Notamacropus eugenii: one gene and its partner. The protein of the gene in region 2 interacts with the protein of the main gene of each other region in a pairwise test. Links are inferred from orthologs where the notes say so. Each region holds a gene or a part of one and is shown on either strand. Other genes may lie near its edges.

The links.
Region 1: the proteins of DAZAP2 (region 2) and POLI interact in binary tests that used the Homo sapiens proteins (3 or more experiments, as listed by UniProt). The two-hybrid records come from large-scale screens. The link is inferred for Notamacropus eugenii from reciprocal best matches to the Homo sapiens genes DAZAP2 and POLI.

What each region holds. Positions count from the first base shown.
Region 1 is NC_092875.1:436,980,589-436,990,689, forward strand, and holds the start of POLI (DNA polymerase iota), read right to left. Parts: upstream 4,696-10,101; coding exon 4,542-4,695; intron 4,444-4,541; exon of another isoform or gene 3,783-4,443; intron 3,500-3,782; coding exon 3,374-3,499; intron 1-3,373. UniProt on the Homo sapiens protein: Error-prone DNA polymerase specifically involved in DNA repair. Plays an important role in translesion synthesis, where the normal high-fidelity DNA polymerases cannot proceed and DNA synthesis stalls. Favors Hoogsteen base-pairing in the active site.
Region 2 is NC_092874.1:223,614,021-223,624,606, reverse strand, and holds the start of DAZAP2 (DAZ-associated protein 2), read right to left. Parts: upstream 3,797-10,586; 5' UTR 3,612-3,796; coding exon 3,599-3,611; intron 3,241-3,598; exon of another isoform or gene 2,851-3,240; intron 1,573-2,850; coding exon 1,454-1,572; intron 1,032-1,453; coding exon 786-1,031; intron 1-785. UniProt on the Homo sapiens protein: In unstressed cells, promotes SIAH1-mediated polyubiquitination and degradation of the serine/threonine-protein kinase HIPK2, probably by acting as a loading factor that potentiates complex formation between HIPK2 and ubiquitin ligase SIAH1.

The DNA.
Region 1 (10,101 bases), on a different chromosome or scaffold from region 2:
AATTCAGCAAGATGGAAAGGAATCACCTGTTAAAATTTTTTTAATTACATTTTTTATAATATAGTGCAAAACTTTGGTAATAAAAATCTCCAAGTGCTCAATTTAGAACTATTACCTCTTTTCATTAGTAAAGTTGTAAGAAATAGAAACACTGGTATCTCAAGCTATTAACTACTCATAAAGGTTTTTAAGGTACCAAAATGTTCCAATAATACTCTAAATTAAACGTCCAAACTGAATTTTTATTAGCTAATCACAGTCTCTGGGTGTTATGTTTCAGAGAAAATTGGAATTAAGTTAAAACTCTGTAGCTATTAAGAATTAAAGAGGGACAGGAATTGTATGTGTCATTTCATTAGTAGAAAACACAAAGGTGAAAAAACTACCTCTACCATGTACGTCAGCACCTTTTCTCTCATAACTAAAGTTGTCTTAGCACTGAGAAGTTTAGTGACTTGCTCGGGATCACAGTGCCATTAACTTTCAGAGATAAGTTTTCCTGGCTTCCAAGACACCTCTCTACTCATTTCTCTATACTGCTTCCCTTTAGATATACTGAGATACTAACTATAATAGTGGAAAGTGCACCATTCTCACATGCATTATAACACAAAGCACGAAACACTAATACATGAACTAGTTTCACAGATGAGAGAAGTACTTTGTTCTGTATTTGGGGGTTTCTTAACAGCCTATGACCAAAAGCCACCTTTTTCTGGAGGTGTTTTCTTTCGTGAAATGTGAATAAAAGATTTCTAATATTTTCTCATATGGTACAGAGATGGAATTAACTTTACTCTTAACTAATAATCATAGGCTATGCTCTATTAAAAATGTTCATAACTGGAAGAACTGTCAAACAAAATTGCTAGTTGCTGCTAGTAAAAAATCACTTTCATCTTCTGAACATTTTGACACTGCATAAGGGAGTATTCTATTTCAAGTACTGGCTTGTCATAATTATTAGAGATGCTCTGCCCCATTCTGATTACTAAACTTGCTTCTTTGTTGGACTATACAGCAAAGGTAAGGTATTCAAGAAGAGTTACAGGTCAAGGGGGAAGCAAAAGGTGAAAAGAAATTGTAATCAGCAGCATACCATATTAAAAACTCAGTTTTACCAATTTTTTGAAGGCTACATAAGTTTTACAGTAAATATTTCAGCCAGGGAACCATCTTCAGATATAAATTGTGTTATAGAAGACAATTACAGCTAAATTATTCCTAAACTTTTAATGATAAAAACAAACTACTTTGCCTAGCTAGCAATTTACAAAAGATTAAAGTAGTATGAAGCACAGCAAGTTGAAGCAAAACATATTATTTAATTTCTTTATTTTCCCCAAGAGGAATGACTAGTCATTCTTCAGCTGCAAAAGTTTACTATGCTTTTATGAACTCTTGTTTAAAACAATTTGCTTAAGGACCACATGAAAAATATGATAGTTGCTTCATAATTTAACATGGATCTTTTTTTATATGGTTTAAAATGGAATTTTACAGTTGCCTAAAATGTTTCCCTAGAGTATGCTTATGGAATTCCAAATTCCATTTTGAAGACCTCATTCTCATTCATAAATTCAACAAATATTTATTAAACATTTTCTATGAGTAAAATACTTTTCAAAATTCAGCAAGTTCTATTCAAATATTAAGTAACAATTAGGCTGAAATACAAGATGCAGCTGGTGGCAGACTGGAATTTTTGGGCCTGATTTCAGAAAGACCTGAATTCAAATCAAGTCTCAGGAACTTAATAGCTATGTAACCCTGGGTAGGTCATTATCTGCCTGCCAGTTTTCTCCACTGTACTATGGGGATACTAACAGCACCTACTTTCTAGCTTTGTTGTGAGGATCAAATGAAAGAAGATTTATAAAGTCCTTAGCACAGTGTCTGGCACGTAGTGGATGCTATATAAATACTTACTCCCTTCCCCCCAACAAACTCAATTTCCCAATTGCAATGAATGGCTCTGCATTGCCTTTATCTTTCACAAAACCATCTACTTCTGCAGAACTTTCGGCCTACATGGTAAACTTACACTCATCTATGTCAGAACTAAAACTTTTAAAGATTGATTCTTCCAAGTATGGTCCTGTGAACTTTGGAGGTATTCTTCAGGCGATCCACAAGGCCAAAACTATTCCCATTATAATACTTAGACATATTAATTTTTAATACATTATCAAGAGATATAACCCACATAAAAGCTCTTTGGGGTCCTCAATAATTTTTAAGAATATAAAGAGATCCTAAGTTCAAAAAGTATGACAACCGCTTGATCAAATCAACCTTTGTATTTCATGAAGGAATGAAGGTCATGAGAAAATAACTAAGGAAGGTCACACAGCTAGTGAACGGCAGAGTCAAAATCTGAAGCAAATTCTTCTGGTTTTAACTATGTAGTCTTGTGTTTATTTATTCCAAATTCAACAACACTACCTGTGGTTAATTTTTAAAAGTGCAAATATCCTGAACTTCAAGTACAAGGATTGTGTTTTATACTGTTTTATATAAAACAGCAAAGGGCCCAGCCCAGATAAGGGGTTCAATAAATTACTGTTGATGACAATGACTTTGACAAATTCCAAATTTGTTTTTAAAAAATCATTTAAACAAAATTTCAGTGAACATTTGTAGATGGTCTAGAACCAGTTAATTTTGAGTATCTGCTATCCCTTTTAGCCAGGAAAAAAGGATATTCAGGGCCGAGGACCATTTTATATTTTTGGTCATTGCAAGAGTTGCCATGGCCAAAAAATTTCACCATCAGGTGGCCAACCTTCTGGTGATTAGAAGTGACAATAATATCTGATATTTATCAGGAATCATTTCTTCCCCAGAAGAAATTTGAAGAGCATGCTGTTTCATTTTTTTTTTTTATCTCTCTTAGTACCTAATAGTGCATTATACACATAAGGCACTGAATAAAAATTTTTGAATGACTAGATCACATCAACCAAATAATAACAGAAGTAGTAGTTATTCTCACATTTTAGGGTGGGAAACAAATTCAAATAATTTACTTATGAATGCAAATAGGAAGTAAGCAGTGAAACCAGCTAGGCCTGAAGGTCCATCCAGAAATAAAACTAAGCTATTTATTGGTTTTGCACTGACAAGTGTATGTGCCCATATCTAAATTTCTTGCTCTCTTTGCTTCAGATGATCCATTTATAAAGTAATGATTATAAAATTCATATCCCCTTCATTACTACTTATTACAGTACAGGAATCACTTTTAAAGTTTTACAATACTAAGCTGAGTAAAATGGAATGGAATGGAACACAGTAACAACAAAAAAGCAATTCTAACAGATTTAGTGCTTAAATATAGAAAGGGAAAGAAAATATGTAAGTCCAGAAATACCTAAAGGTTTGCCTTTTAATTCCGGATGAGAGATCATTTCTACTTGTGCATAAAAGCAATCCAGATCCACGTGTACTATGACTCTGTAGGAGGCACTTTCTGCCGGCACAACTTGACCATGAACTGCTGCACCACATGCAAAGGAATGCAAAATATTTTCAGACTCCTGACCCTAGGCTAACAGGGTAGGGTGGTGGTAAAAGATGGTGAATAACAAAAGTGTGGTCTGCCAGGCTTAACAGTTTTGTCTTTCCCTGACTTACCCTATGAGCCAAGGTTTTAAGTTATAGTTTTCAGAATACTCCAATGGATTAAAAAAACAAAAAAGCAACTTTTACCTGACATCTATACAATTTAGCACAACTGCTTAATTCCGAAAAAGGGAAAAAAAATCATAAAACATAAATACCCTCCTGGAAGGAAGATGAAGTGATTTAGATAATTTCCACGGAACTAGGGGAACCTGATTCCTCACGCACTTCACTATACTCGGCCCACGTGGCTAACGTCAGGGTCCAAATGGCGGGGAACAAGAGCTGTGTGTTTTAGAGCTGAACATCCCCACGAGCAGACTTGAAAGCTCAGGCAAAGGGGCGATAAGGGCCCAGGAGAGGCCGCCCTGCCTGCCCCAAGCCACAACCCAGCCAGATCTCTCCAATCGCCAGGCCGTGGGTGGGGTGAAGCGGGCGGGGAAGGGCACCCCGCCCCGGGGCCACAAGCCCTGCCCCTGCCTGCCCTGCCCCCGCAGGACCCATCTCATCATCCCTCCCCAGAGCCACGCGGGCAACAGACCAGCTCCCGCGTGGACCGGGGCGGGACGTCACAGCTGCTCAAACCTTGAACTTGGTGGGAGGGCCTTTCGTGTCTCGGATTTTTTTTTTTTATAAATAAGTTTAAAAAATGTTTTTGTTAATGCACCCTCGCTTGCCTAACACGTGGAGAAGTAAAAATACCCTCCACCCTCCACAGGACATCCCGGCAGCCCCTGGGGCTCACTCCAGCCCTCCTCTGGGCCAGAGCCGGGGGGTGGGCCCTGGGACCTCTCGGCGGAAGCCCTTCCCGGGGAGTCTGCCCTGGGGCGGGGCCGCGCCCTCCGCCCCCCGCCCCCCGCCCCCCGGCGGGCCGAGGCCCTTCCCCCTCTCCCCGCAGCCGCTCTCATTTCATTTACAAGGAGCGAGGCGGACGGCCTCCACGGGCCCCGTGGCGCTCTGAGAGCCTCCTGCCGCCCCTAAGAGCTGAGAGTCCATAGTGTCTTCCTCCTCGTCTTCTTCTTCGTCGTCCTCGTCCTCCTCTTCCTCCGGCTCCACCCCTAGCGTGTCCATTCCGCGGCGGCCAACCGCAGCTTCGCCTTCCTGTCGCCTCCGCCCCCGTCGCCCCGGGAAACGGCGGGCTCACAGGTCCCGCCCCTTCGGGGCCTTGGCGGAAGGACGAGGCCGGCCAGCCAATTAACGGCGGGGCGCACGCGGGCGCATGCGCTCTCCTCAGCCCGCCCGCCTGCCTTAAGGGAAACGGAAGCTGACGCCTTGCTTCTGACGGGGAAGTCCCTCTGGCACCGAGCTGTAGGCTAAAGTCCCCACGAGAGAGAACGAAAGCTCCAGACTAGCCATATTTAGTTGACATCGACAGAAATAGCCCTACGACACACGTAGGTACTCCTCCTTTGTAAGGCGTAACCCCATCCGTTAGCCAATGGCCCAATTCCCTCACTGGCCGGCTCTCGACTAGGGGGACCACGGGAAAATGGGCGCCATAGGAGATATTAGGGATTTGCTTGTTTGTTTGTTTATGAGTGGGCATTTTCCTTCCACCCTTCCCCCTAAGAAGCCTCTTAGGTAATGGCTTTAACTCAGTCCACTACAAATAAGATTAAAAAAATGTTAACGGAAGAATCAGAATTTAGATCTACGTTTTATATGTAGGGAAGTGACTTGTCCAAGGTCTTGGACTTCCTTTGCACCACATGAAACTGCTGCTGGAAAAAGCAGGAATGCCTGGGCTGCTACTAAATAGCAAAACTGTTATATATCTATGTCTATATATTTATATATATATCTATAGTGATGAAAATCAAAAGAAAGAAAAAAATCTCAAAAACTACAGTCTGAACAGGTTCACCCCTGGAGAACCTTGAGAAGTTTATGCGGCAGAGGTGAGGGTGCTGTTGGGATTAAAGAAATGGGAAAAGAAAGGCTACTGGAAGAGTTTTAGGTGTATATTGGGATAGAATAATTTTATGGAAAAGCAGTCAGACTTTTTTGAAGAATTCCAGTTAGAGGGGAGCTACTATAGAATCTCTGAAATGATTGGAGACAAAGTCAGAAATCTGAAAGGTCTCCTCATTATATACATATATGTGTGTATGTACACATATATATATGTATATAATGAGTCTCTCTATATATACACACATATATAAGGATTACCTTCATTGGAGATCTTCAAACAAAGGTTGTTTAGTCTAATATAGTATACACACATATATGTGTATGTATATGGTAATAAAGGTAATCCAATTGCCTCCCAAAGCATCCTATTCCACCTTTGGATATTTCATTAGGAAGTTTTCCCTTACATCAAAACCTAAATTTGCCTCTTGGCTATTTCTACCCATTACTGCCACCATCTAAGTCCAAACAGAACCAGTAATTAATCATTACTCTTCCACATGAAAATCCTTCACATATTGGATCCTGACTATCATCCAATGTGTTAGCTACCCCTCCTGGTTTTGTGTAGTCTACACATTTGAGATTCACACACACACACACACACACAAACACACACGCATGCATGTGCACACACACACCTTTATCCAAGTCACTAATAAAAAAATGTATAACTGCCCAGGCACAAACAATACCGTGGTGCCACTCCAACTGGAGAGTGTATTCCAAGTTGACGTAGGTCATAAATTTTGAACTAGAAGAAACCTTAGAGGCTATCAAATCGAACTTCCTTATTTTACAGATGAAGAAACTGAGGCACAAAAACGTTACTTGTCCAGGGTGACGTAGCTAGTACAGGTCTGAGTTAGGATTTGAACTGAGGTCTTACAGAGACCAAAGTGAGCACTCTGCACATTAGCTATTCCATCAAACCAATAATCATTACTTTTGGGGTCCAACCTTTCAATGGATTCCCCAAAGTATTCCTAAGGCAAGTCATTTCACTTTCAAACTACTCTAATTATTAAGAATCCTTATGTTGTTCATATAGGCCTCTTTACAATTTCTGCCTAGACTTCTAGTGCAAGCCTCTAGAGCCAAACAGAAGTCTCATGCCTCTTCCATGTGACAATCCTTCACATATTTGAAAACAGCTTTAATATTTCCTCTGCAAGTCTTCTCTTTTCCAGGCTAAATATTCTTTCCAATACTTGAAGACAGTTATGTGTCCCTTCAGTCTTCTCTTAACAGTCTAAACAAGCCACTTCCTTAAAAGTGATTCTCATATGGCACATACTTGAAGTGCTTCATTCTCCTCTGGGTGCTCTCCTGTTTATTGAGGTCTTTAAATTACAATGCTCAGAAATGATCATAGTACTTCCAGGTGCAGTATGACCACGTCATTGTACAGAAAGGGGATCAAGTTTTTATTTCTGGAATCTATGTATCTGCTAATTAGGCAGTTAGGTGGTAACATGGATAGAGCAAGGGGCCTGGAGTCAGGAAAGTCTGAGCTCAGATCCAGCCTCAGACCTTTATGAGGTATGGGATCTTGCACAAGTCGTTTAACCTTTGTCTGCCTCAGTTTTCTCATAAAAAAAATGTCACCTAAAGTTGTTATAAGGATCAAATAAGATATTTGTAAAGCACATGGCACAGTGCCTGGCTCATAATAGAGAGCTGTTGAAATTTTAGTTATTATATGACTCAAGATCATATTTTCTTTTTTTCTTCTGCTGCCCATCTCACTCCTGATTCATTTTGAAGACCCAGATAATTTTCAGACAGACTACTGTCTAACTGTGGCTTACCCATTCTATATTTGTAAAGTTGATTTTTTGAACCTAGATGTAAAAAGTTCACTTTTGTCTCTATTGAATTTCATCTTATTAAATTTATCCCAAATCTCTAGATTGGCATGATCCTTTTAGATATTGTCACATATTGTGTTAGTTATTTTGCCCAGCTTTGTGTCACCTGCAATTTTGATAAGCATGCCATCTCTGCCCTTATTTAAATCAATAAAATAAATACAAATACACAAAGCCAGCCGTAGGTTCCTTTGCCACCCACTGGAGACCTTTGGTCAAAGTGACATTAAACCAGTAAGTATTCTTGGAGACTAGTCATCCATTTCCAAGTCTGTCTAATGGCATTGTTATTTCATCTGCTGTAACTCCATATTTTCCACAATCATAATAGGAAGTTCTTGAAACGCTTTGCTAAAATCTAGCTGGTCTAACTCCACCATTTCCCTAATCTTCTAGCTTACTAACTCTGTCAAAATGAAAATAAGATTAGTCTGTCATGACCTGTTCTTCATGAGCCATGAAGGCATTTTATAATTACTACTTCCTTTTCGAGATGTTCTCTCACCATCTCTTTAATGATTCATTTTGCCACATTACGCTGCTGATTCATATTAAACTTGCAGTCCACCAAAACCCCCTGATCTTTTTTAGACAATCTGCTGTCTAACCATGCTTTTTCTATCTGACTTGGGATACTGATATTTTTTCAATCCAAGTCTGTTTTTATATTTATCCTTATTAAATTTCGTTTTGCTGTGTACCATTCATTATTTAAATCTATTGAAATGCTTTTAGATCCTTACTATGTCAGCCAGCATGTTAGCTATTCCTGTTTCCATTACGTTCAAATTGGATGGGCATCTCATCAATTCATCTGTTAACTTGGTTCTTCCTATGGCCTCTTATTTGATATCCTTACTTCCAATCTCTTCCCCCCTCCAATCCATCCTCCATACAACTGGATAATTAATGTTCCTAAGACACAGGTCTAACTATGTCACTCCCTTGCTCAAAAATTGTCAGTGTCTTCTTGTTACCTCTAGGATAAAAGACAAAACAAAAAAAAAAATGGACACTTAAAACTTAAACTTAAAAAGTTTGTCTCCTATTCACTTTTCCAGACTTATTTTATAATACTGTCATTCAAATGTTCTACATTCTAGATAAAATGACTTACTAGTAGTTCCTGGAACTCAGCATCCCACACACTCTCTCTGTGCCTTTGCACAGGCTTTCCCTGCAATACAATCCCTTTTCACCTCAGCTTCTTAGAATTCTAGTTTATTTTAAGGCTCAGCTCAGGTGTCACATCCTGAAGGAGACCATGCTTTCTATATCTTTATATTAGCTTATATGTTTATCTAGATAGCTAGATATAGATAAATATAGATAGATAAACTAAGTGCCAAAATAAAACTTTTTTGCATCCCTAGTGCTTAGCACAGTGCCTGACATAAAATGTATATTGATTGGTTGTGCTTTGTATTATGTATTAAATATATATTGGGTCTTCCAGTAGAATGTAATTTTCTTAAGTACAGGGACTATTTCATTTTTTTCTTTGTATCTCTAAAACAGTGCCTTTCTTACACATAGTTCTAAATAAATACTTGTTAGACTGGATTACATTCATTGAGAATGGGAGTATATAAAATACTAATATCTATGGTTATCTAGAAAGGAAAATTCACATATAGTATTCTTAATACAGAGAAAACAAGCTACTTTTATTATTTGTTATCACTGATTTGATTTCAGAAAACATGGAGTAGAGGAGAGCTAATGACCCTCTCAAATACAAATAAAAATATAGTGAATTTTGTTGACATGTCTTTTATTCTGAATTTCTTCATGGTTTTAACTTAATAATCTCAAGAAATAAATATTTTGTGCCATAAGGATAATTTAGCACATAGAACAGTTGAGAAAAATAAAAATCGGACTAAATAAACATTGTTTTAAATCAAATAACATAAAAAAGCTTTTAAAAATTTAAAAAATTAAACTAAATAAAATTTTAACCAACATAAATCAATGTGAGAGGTTTGGAGAGAAAAGATTCTTTTTACTTCCTCACACTGCTTCTAATGCCCATCTTAATCTACTCAGAAAAGAAATCAGACAGGTTAGAGACATTGCAAAAAAGCTTTCAGGGAATAGGGTCCTCAGTAGGAAGTGAGGGGAAAAATAGTAAGTATTTGATGATGGTGGAGAGGCAAGGAAATAGAACAGAATATAAAAGTGTCATTAATAATGCATTGGGAAAAACTCTTGAAGGCCTGGAAAGATTGGTGTTGGTATCATCCTGATAAAGACCAGTGCTATTGAAAGCCCTATTGAGTTGTTAAGAGCATTCTCCAGTTATAATGAAACATAGATTTCTAGATATTTGTGTAGTGCTCATTTATTTTAAGTAATCAAATCAAATTACTGGTGTCAAAAATGAAAAATAAGAATTCACAACAAAAAAAGAAAAAAAGTAAGTTACTAGAAACTATTTTGCCTAACTATATATGCCAATAAAACTGGCAACTTAAATGAATACTTTATTAACATAAAAATTCCAAATTAATAGAATGAGAAACAAAGAACTTAAATAACTCAATAACAGAAAAAAATTGAATGATCCACAAATAATTCATACAGAAAAAAACAGGACCATAAAGAATTAGAAGTGAATTTTATCAAACAACTGAAGAAAAGATAATTATGATAGAACGTAAACTGAAAAAACAGGAAAATAAGATATCCG
Region 2 (10,586 bases):
AAAATTTATAACTACCTGTATTTACAGCTTAAGAACTTTCCTTTCTCAGAGACATAGATACCTCTTGGGTGCGTACAAAGATGCTGATATGACCATGGTTGTCACTGTTGGTGCAGAGTTACTTAAGAAAAGTTTGACCAGTTCCAAATTTCCCTTTTTAATGGATACATGGAAGACAAATTCCCAGATAATCTGGAAACAATTAAACCAAAAAATGCCAACCTCCTGGAAACAACCTGAAGATAAGATTGTGCAGAACTGTGGCCACGGTTGGTAGTAAGTTAAATGCCTACTGAGTAAAGGCAAACTTTCGTTAAACCAATTTAAACTGCTCCTTCTTTCACTCTTAGATGAACTGGGAAATAGCCCCAAATCTGAAAATCAGGAGGATAGGGTAAAGGGGTCTAGGTTTAGAAAAAGAGATTGTCAGCTACAATTAATTACCAGGTTATTGCTGCTAGAGGTTCTCCTTTCACCTCCCCCCCCTTGATACCTGCCTCACAGGTGGGTGTAAACTGTCGACAATCACTGCCCAGGGATGCTGGAGGGATTCCAGGATCAGGACCACAGATTTAGAGTTGAAAAGAGGCTTAAAGGATATCTAGCCCAGCCCCCTCATTTTATAGATGAGAAAACTGAGGCCTAGTTAAGCAACTTGTCCAAGGTCATGGGGTAATACTCAACATGAAAGAGAAGTTTGAGGTTTTAGCAACTCAGGACATTGGGATGCTTAGAGGCAAACATGCAGCACCAGGAAAGACCCAGTGTTTTCTAGTCATACTCACAGGAATGTTCCCAGCAGTAGCCCCAGCTCCAAACCTGGCACCAGGATCATATGCTCCATCCACCAGCACTGTTGAACCCGGGGGGTATACGTGACCAAGTGGATAGTAAGCCAGTGGTACAGCAGAGCCAACAGGCCCAACAGCCACAGACTGACCCATGGGAAGAAACAAAGAAGCACCAGGATATGCAGCTGACATAGTGGGAACTGTTGCAGTCCCTGGGTGCACAAAGTTTGGACGATAGAGCTAAAAAGGGGCAGAAGAAAAAACCAGTTTATTTCCTACGGTATTTATTTTGTATTTTAATAGTCAACGTTCAATTCTCCAGTAGAAACTATGTCACTTATGAAGCCAGCAAATGTCTTAATCATAGCCTCCCTCCCCCTACCTCTGAGCCTGCTCTCAAGACCCTCTCCCCAATGAGGGAGAGCCTAAGGAGAGATGTCAGGGTTGTTACAGTCACCATCATCACCTCCCCCCTCCCATACTGCTCTGCTCTCACTACCCCCTACCCAGGGCTTTCATTAGATAACACATCTTCAACCCAATAGCAATGATTTTTTTCATTCATGCCACTGTTTCTGAAATTCTAACCCTCTATAAAGACAGGGCAATGGTGGCACATGATTTCGGCCTGCTCCAACACCTAAAAATCTTGACACTCTTACCTCAGAATAGGCTGGAGGTGCATCCGTGTATGGTGGAACCTGAGGGAGATGCATGGTTTGAGGGTACACTGGATTTCCAGGAGGCTGCACAGGGTATGTGGGCTGCGTTGGATACTGCCCTAGAAGACACAAAAAGGCACGTGTAGTGGAATCATATGTGGCCAGAGAGAGGGCACGCTGCCCAAAGACTCACACAGCTGTGCAGACCCCTAGAAGTGGGGTCTGACAAACAGCTTGGAAAGGGATGATGCAGCGGAACAAACAGGGGAAGGGGGAAGAAGGTACTATCTTGCAGCTACAGATTAGGGATTCTGATAGGCCCAGGCTGGGAATTGTACAATCTACTCTACAGGAATATGCGGGGGGAGTGTGTCCAGTCAGTTTCAAGGAAAACACCTTATGAATAGGAACTCTTCTGATTATTCTCGGCTCTCTCTGAAGCTGGAGGACTTCTAGGTACCGGTAAGGATAGGAGATGGGATGTACTCATATCAATTAGTAAGGGATCCCTGGCTCCAGGGTTGGCCTTACTAATCATCCTAGTCAGGTGTCTAGATTTGGATGGGTTTCTTGCCTGGATCCAAAGGTCTACAATGACCTTCAAGGTCAACTTCAGAAAGAGGAGATTTAGCAGATGCAGAAGCCGCTAGATCATACATAGATTAAGAGATAGAAATGGTCCAAATCCCTGATTTTACAGATGAGGAAACTGAGCCCCAGAAACCTTAAATGACATACCCAAGGTCACACAGCTAATAAATGTCTGAGCCAGGATTTGCATATATATCCTGTAACTCCAGCACAACTTCCAAAGCCCATCATGGCCTACCACCACACCAGCGGTTTTCCCCCACCAGGGAAGAATAAGAGGATCTTGAAATGGAATAGACCTTAGGGACCTAGGATCACCTAAGCCAATTATCTTATCTAGAGCACTGGACAAGGAGCCAAAGCTCGGAGCTCAAATCCTGTCATAACCCTGGACAGATCACTTCACCTTTCTGTGCCTCAAGTTCCTTCATCTGCATAAAATGGGGAAAACAGCAGCACCTACATCGTAGAATCGTGGTGAGGGCCAAATAATAACAAGAAATCACTGCAAACCCTTGAGGGTTTGCAAAGCACTTTACACTTCTCATTTCATTCGATCCTTAAGACAAATCTGGGAGGCAGGTGTTAATTACTTCCGAGTATTAGCCTAAAAGCAATGGAAGAAGCCACATCCCTATCCCTTTTAATTTGTAAAAAGGGTTTGCGTCCAGTTCTGTTAAATGCGAATGTCATTTACAAATAAACATTTTGCTTTAAAAAGCGAAAAATAAGTCAACCGACTTTGCCACTGTTTTACAGAGGAGTAAACTGAGGCCCAGGTAAGCTGACCGGTCCGCACTCCTTACCAGACTATCCAAATGCCACCTATAGTGACAATTATTGGTCGTTATTGGGAGCCTAATGGTTAGAGGGCACTCTGGATCCGGGAAGTGGAGTAACTTGCCCAAGGTCACACGGTGGGCCTCAGACCTGAACCCCAATCTGGGCTCCTTCCCCTCCCCGGCCAGGCCCCGTTAGAAGGGCTTCCCAGACAATAGAACAATCCAGGGAGAGGGGCGGAGGGCGCCCCGACCCCCGGAGGGGGCTCGCGCCGGTGCTGGGCCGATTTAACCGACACATTCACAGCTATCAAGAAAAGGGAGGCCGGCAGCAAAGCGAGCAGCCCCAGACCGCGGCCCCTAGAGCCCAGCCCTCCCCCAAAGGCACCGACGCTCCCCCTCCAGCTCCCCCAGGCCGGAGGAGGGATGGGGGGCGCCCGTCACCAGGCAGCTCTCGGTCCCGCCCCCGTCCGGCTTCTCATTGGCCAAGCCCCATCGGAGCCCTCGCTCCCCATTGGCCTCGCGGCCTGCCCATCCCGCCCCGGCCCCCCTGCAGCTCAGAACTGCGCCACAGGCTTTAAGGGAAAAAGCTCAGGGAGGGGGCGAGCGGCCGTGGCTCGGGGCCTCGACCGGGAGCGAGCGCGACGCGGGCCCGGGGCCTGGCCCCTCAGCGACGAAGGCGGCCGGCCCCCGTCCGGGCCTACGGCTCCCCGAGGCCCCCGGCCGGCCGGCCCCCGGCCCTGCCCCGCCGGCTTCGCCCCCTGTCCGCTCTTGCCTTTGCTGTTCATGGCGGCGGCGGGTCCGGTTCGGCTTGGGGCTGCGGACGGTGTTTTTTTCGTCCTCTTCCTGTTCCAAGTCACTTCCGTGTCATGTGACGCGCCGTCCTCCCAGAGTCACGGGACGTCCTGGTGACCCCCCCCCCAACCCCTCCTGCGCCGCCACCGGAAGCCCCGCCCCCGGGCGGTGTCTCCAGGGTCAGGACTGAGCTGGGGGTGTCGGGCCTGCCTGGGCCCTCCCCTCTCCGACCCACCCCGGCCCCGCCCTGCAGTCCCAACCTCGCGGGCCCGGTCTACCCGCTCCGCCTCGGGCCACTCGGAGGCTGGGGCTGGGCCGGCCAGCGCCCGTCCCTGCCTCTCCCTAACCCTTCCCGGGTGGCTTCCTCCGAGAAGCCTTCCCAGTTTAGCTCCGCCCACGCCGACACGAAGGAAACGGCGCCCTCGATTCAACCCCCACCCCACCCCCATTTCACAAAGGAGGAAACGGACGCCTGGTGACTTTGGTAAAGCCACAAAATGAGTTTCGTTTTAGAAAGGTTTATTCCTGTCTCCTCGTGAAGCCAGCACGCCTGGGCTCCTTTCCCTTCCTCCCCGTCTCGGTGCTGCCGTCCCACATTACCCCCCGTTCATCCGGTGGATACACAGATACACGCACGTGTGTGTACATACACATACACGTCTCTGTGTGTTACGGGCGAACAGCTGCGGGCTATACGCATGCGTGTTCTTTCCAGATGGATACATGTAGCACGCAAACGGCTCCGGACAAGCGGTGCGTGCAGGCCCCTTCCCCGCACGCCGGGAGCTTCACGAGAGCCGGACGTTCTTGTCCTGGTTCGAAGCCTGGCGCACGTCAGAGTTTAGTAAGTGCTGGGGGACCGAGCACCTGGCCGGGCCCCGCTGCGGGGCTAGTCCTTGACCTCCTGCTCCAAGGTCAAGGTCATTCAGAGCCGCACGTCACCGGGGGAAGATCCTCGTCCCTAAAGCAGCGAAGCCGTTCTGGACGTTTGTTTGCGAGAGGACTAAAGCTTGAGGCTTTGACTTAACTCGCCTGTCACGTAAAGGAAGACAGCCTAGGACAGGAGTTGTTGGGGGGCCTAAGCTTCGCGAGACTCCCCCCACTTGAGACAATACACCTTCCTGACTGCGTGGGGTCCCCGGGGAAACTGGGGAGCTCCAAGGACCTGGGTCCACCTGAGCCAAGCTGTATCCTTGGTGACTAGCATCCTTTCTAGGCCACTACTGAGTAGATTTCTTTAGTTTATGGTCATATAGCCTTCAGGCATTTCAGTTCATCCCAGTCCTGAGCCTGAACCACCGGGCCACAGACAGTCTGGCCTCCTTCACTGACCAAGCATGTCCACTCCCACATTCATGTGTTTCCATAGGCGGCCCCTCATTCCTGGAATGCATTTACTTCTCCCCTCTCCTTCAAAGTCTTAGCTGCCTTCAAGGCTCAGTTCAGTGCCATGTTCCAGGTCAATTTTTTTCCTATGTTACCTAACTTTTAATACTCTATCGCTCCTCAAATTATTTTATATGTACATGTCATATCCTTCCCAGAGAATGTAAGTTCCTTGAGGGCAAGATCTACAAAAAAATGTCACTGTATCCCTAGCACCTGGTACAGTACCGAGCATGTATTGTTCATTTATTCAGTCATATCCAAGACGTATGGACAGTAGCATGCCAGCCACTTCTGTCCTCTACCATCTCCCAAAGTCCATCCAAGCTCATGTTTATTGTTTCTATAATGCTATCCATCTCATTCTCTGCTCTCCCCCTCCCCTTTTTACCTTCAATCTTTCCCAACCCCAAGGTCTTTTCCAGTGAGTTCTTCTTATGGCCAAAGCATTTAAGTTTCAGTTTCAGTCCTTCCAATGAGTAGTCTGAATTAATTTAAGTACTGACAGATTTGATCACCTTGCAGTAGCTTAATAAAAGCCTGTTGTCATTTTTTTGAGGAAAAAGTCCAAGCTATAAATAACCATATGAAAAAATATTCCTAATCATTAATAGAGAAATTCAAATTAGAGCATCTTGGAGGTTCTCATACCCAAGGCTGACCAAAAATATATATATTACAAATGCTGGAGGGGCTGTGGGGAAACAGGTACAGTAATGTACTATTGGGAGAGTTCTGAACTGGTCCAGTCATTTTGGAAAGCAACTTAAAACTATACCACAAAACTGATTAATTTATGCATTCCCTCTGATAGTAGGGCCATACTCCCAAAGAAGTGAGAGATACGTATGTATAAAGTTTTTATAGAAGATCTTCTTGTGTTGGCAAAGAGCTAGAAAATTAAGAGAGTGCCCATCAATTGGAGAATGGATGAACAAATTATGGCATATGAATGTCATGAAATACTACTGTACTGTAAAAATTTATAAGGGGGACAATCTCAGAGAAACCTGGGAAGATTCCTATTAACTGATGTGGAATGAAGTAGGCAGAACCAGAGGAACAATGTATACAGTAACAACAACATCACAAAGACAAATAGCTTAGGAAGAGTTAAAAACGCTTCTTACAGTGACAAACCATGGTTCTGGATGACTCATGATGAAACATGCTCCTCACTTCCTGAGAAAGGTAATAGATCCAGGGTACAGATTGAGATATGGGGTTTTTGCACATTTCTGATGTGGGGATTCATTTTGCTTGACTGTGTGTATTTGTTACAAAGGTTTTGTTTTTGCTTCCTTTTCAATGGGAAGAGGAGTCAGTCAGCATTTATTGTCTACTAGGTGCCAGGCACTGTGCTAAGTGCTGGTGAAACACAAAAAGGCCTGATGAGTCCTTGCCCTCAAGGAGCACACAATGTAATGAGGTGGAGAGGGGGAAGAAACAGATTTTTGTTCATTGAAAATATTAAAATAAGCAACATGATTCATACAAATAATCAAACATACCTTCTGTAGACTGAATAAATATAATTTTATAAGAAAAAAATGCCTGTTGTTATTTGGTCAATCAACCAGAGAAATAATATATACGTAAATACATACAGCATATTTGCAAAATTATCATACACTTGTGTTCAATCTTCTTGACCCCATTCTGGAGTTTTCTTGGCAAAGGTACTGGAGTGGATTGCCATTTCCTTTTCCAGCTTATTTTACAAATGAGGAAACTGAGGCAAGCAGGGTTAAGTGACTTGCCCAGGGTCACACAGCTAGTAAGTGTCTGAGGTAGCAGTTGAAGTCAGGTCTTTCTGACTCCAGGCCTGGCATTCTTTCTACAGCACTACCTAGCTGCCATTTACAAAATAAATAGAGGTAATTTTGGAAGTGAGGCTCTACCAGTGGAAGGGAGCAGAGAACAGTCTAATCGAGAAGACAGAATTTCTAAGAGGCAGAACTGAAGGGGGCAAGGTCCTTTCTGGCATGGGCAAAGGCACTGAGATGGGAGATGGAGTGTAATGTGGGGAACAGCAAAGAGGCCAGTTTAATTGACCTATAGAAGGCATGAAGGGGAATAATCTTAATCAGTCCGGGAAGTAGGTTGGAAGCAGGTTGTGAAGGGATTTGAACTCTAAAGAGAGGAGTTTGTATTTGATCCTACAGGGAGCCCTTGCAATTTATGGAAGAAGGGAATGACATAATCAAATCTGTGCTTTGGGAATATCACATTGGCCTCTGTATGAACCTTGAAATTGGAAAGATGAGACTTGAGGCAGAGGGAACAATTAGAAAGTGACCGAAATAGTCCAATGAAAAGGTAAGGTGATGGTGAATGAGGCCAGTGACCGTAGAAGTAGAGAAAGGGGACTAGTAGAGGAAGTGAGAGAGGTTATAGACATGAAAAGGACAAATTTTAGTAACTGAATGACTAAGTGGGCTGAGGAAGAATGAAGAGTTGAGGATGACACTAAGATTGCAAACCTGGGTGACCAGAAGGATGGAGATACTGTTGTTATTTTATCACTTCCCAGCTAGAAACCTTTGCATTTTCTAGCCTCTAAAATCTTTTCTTCTCTAATTCCTGCCCATTGATATTCTCTTTTTCCCCTCTCTGTCTGATCAAATCTTGTTCATTTTTCAAGGTCCAGTTCATTCTACAGCTTCCATGGAGCCTTTCTTCCCTAAACAGCTCAGTCCCTGGTGATCTTCAAAGTTCTGTAGTGAAAGAGGGTAAAAACAAATTGAGGAATAGCTAATAATACTGTCTGGCTGGAATGTAGTTCACTTGAAGCAAAAAGTGTGAAATAAGGCAAGAATAGTAGGTTGGAGCAAGATTATAAATTGCCTTAAATGCCAAGCTAAGGAGTTCGCATTCTATAAGCAATGGGAAATCACTAGAGAGTTCTGTGCAGAGAAATCACATCATTAGACCTGAGTTTTAAGAAGATTATTTTTGTAACTGTGTAGAGGACTGATTAGAAAAATGAAGCCTGCAAACAGGGAAACCAGTTAGGTGGATACTATTAGTGTTCCAGCTAGAAAGGGAAGGATGAGGACCTGAACCAGGGTAGTAGCAAAGAAAGGTAAGGACAGATGTTAGAGTTATTGTGGCAGTAAAATCAACAGGACCTTTATTATCTGAAGTTGGGGGGTGGGGATGGAGTGAGGGATTAGAGTCAAAGATAACTGTGAGGTTTCAAACCTGAATCATTGAGAGGAAAGCAGCACCATAAATAGGAACTGAGAAAATTGGAAGGAGGCAGATTTATGGTGGAAGATGAGATATTCAGTGCTAGATGTTTGGAGTTTGAGAAGCCAGCAGGACAATATAGCAGGTAGCTAGATTTGCAGGATGGGAGCTTGGGGGAGATCTCACTAAGCTTTGGAGAAAAAATTGGAAACTGTCAAAAAACTTTTTATCCATCAGTCAGTAAACATTAGTTAAGTTCCTACTATGTACCTGGCACTATGCTAAGCATTGGAGATATAAAGAAAGGTAAATACAACCCCTTCTCTCAAAGAGCTTATAATCCAATGAAGAAACAATGTAAAAACAAATATGTACAAACAAGCCACATATAGGATAAATTGGAGATAATGAACAGAGGAAAAGCAGTAGAATTAAGGTGGATCAGGAAAAGTTTTCTGCAGAAAGTGGAGTTTTAGCTGAGATTTAAAGGAAGCTAGGGAAACTAGGAAATAGAAATGGAGAGGGGGAGCATTCTAAGCATGGAGGAGAGCCAATCAAAGTGCCTGAATTCAGGAGATGGAGTATATCTTATTCTAACAACAGCAAAGAGGTCAGTGTTACTGGATTACAAAGTGGGGAGGGGAGGAAATGTATGATATAAGTAACTGGAAGGGAAGGTGGGTTTAAAGGGCTTTAAAAGCCAAACCAAAGGTTTTATATTTGAACCTGGAGATGATAGGGAGCCATTGAAGTTTACTGAGTGATGAAATAGTTAGACCTGTTCTTTAGGAACATCAATTTGACAGCTGAGAGGAAGTGAGATCAACCAGCAGGCTGTTACAGTAATCCAGGTGTGACTTGAGGAGGGCTTGCACCAAATGAGCTGGGAAAAAATATTCTCCAATCTGTCCATTTGAGAAAATCTCTGAGAGAGGCAGAGCCAAGATGGCAGAGTAGAGAAATATTCAGTCAAGTTCTCCCAAATTCTCCTCCAAACAACCTAAAATAACATCTCAAATCAAATTCTGGAGCAGCAAAACCAACAAAAGGTTGGGTGAAATAATTTTCTAGCCCAAGACAACTTAAGAGGCTGGCAGGAAGGGTCTGTCTCACTGGAGTGTTGGTTGGATCTGGAGCACAGTTCAGATTCCACGATGCAGACCCTCCATGCTACAGAACTAGCAGGAGCCTTGGAGGTGACTATATTGGTGGCAGCAGCAGCAGCAGCTTTGGGAGTTCTCAGCCTAGAGACCATTGGGAGAGGGGCATCAGACAACTGGTCAGGAGATTGCAGGTAACCCTTTGCTGGCCCTGGTTTTAGGACCCTTTCATTGCCCACACATAGTTCTGAGTGACAGTGCAAGGGTCAAAAGGAGTGATACCTCCTGTGGTCACAGGGAAGCTGGGGCCTTGATTGAGGTTCCAGGGCAGAGAGGAGTGCTCTTGGGGGAATAGAGACCCTGATCTCAATTCCAAGACAAATGGAAGCACTAGTCTGCAACTTCAGGAACGCAGGGACCTGATCACAATCGCAGGCCAGTAGTGGTGGTTAAAGGGGAACAAAATTCTTTCCTGGGTAAAGACCAAAGCACAAGCCAGGAGAGCAGGTTCTATACTCTCCTTAGATCTTAGCACCTTGGAAGCACTGAAAACCTACAGACCCCCCCAGAACTATCTCTGAAAAAAAGTAGCAAAAAAGGCCTAAAGCTTGAGACAGTGCCACTTCCATCCCAAGAGCAGAGCCCAGCTTTAACATAAAGTTCAAAGTCAAGAAATAGACAAGGAAAATGAACAACAACAACAAAAAAAAAAAACAAAAGAACATGACCATAACAAGTAATCATAGTGATTAAAGATCAAGACACAAACCCAGAAGAAGATAACAATGTTAAAGTACCTGCAAGCAAAGCTTCAAAGAAAGATGTGAATTTTAATACAAGCCCAACCAGAATTCCAGGAAGGAAAGGAAAGAACTCCTGGAAGGAAAAGGATTTTAAAAATCCAATAAAAGAGGTAGAAGAAAAATTGGGAAAACAAATGAAAGTTATATAAGAAAATTATGAAAAGAAAGTCAACAGTTTGGTTAAAAAGGCACCAAAAAATAATGAAGAAAATAATACTTTAAAAAAACAGAATTGGCCAAATGGCAAAAGAGGCACAAAAATTCACTGAAGAAAATAATTCTTTAAAAATTAGGATTGGGCAAGTGAAAGCTAATGACTCTGTGAAACCAAGAAATAAGAAAACAAATTTAAAAGAATGAAAATAGAAGAAAATATGAAATATTTCATTGGGAAAACAACTGACCTAGAAAATGGATTGAGGAAAGATAATATAAGAATTATTGGACTACCTTAAAATCTTGATAAAAAAAAAAGAGCCTAGATATC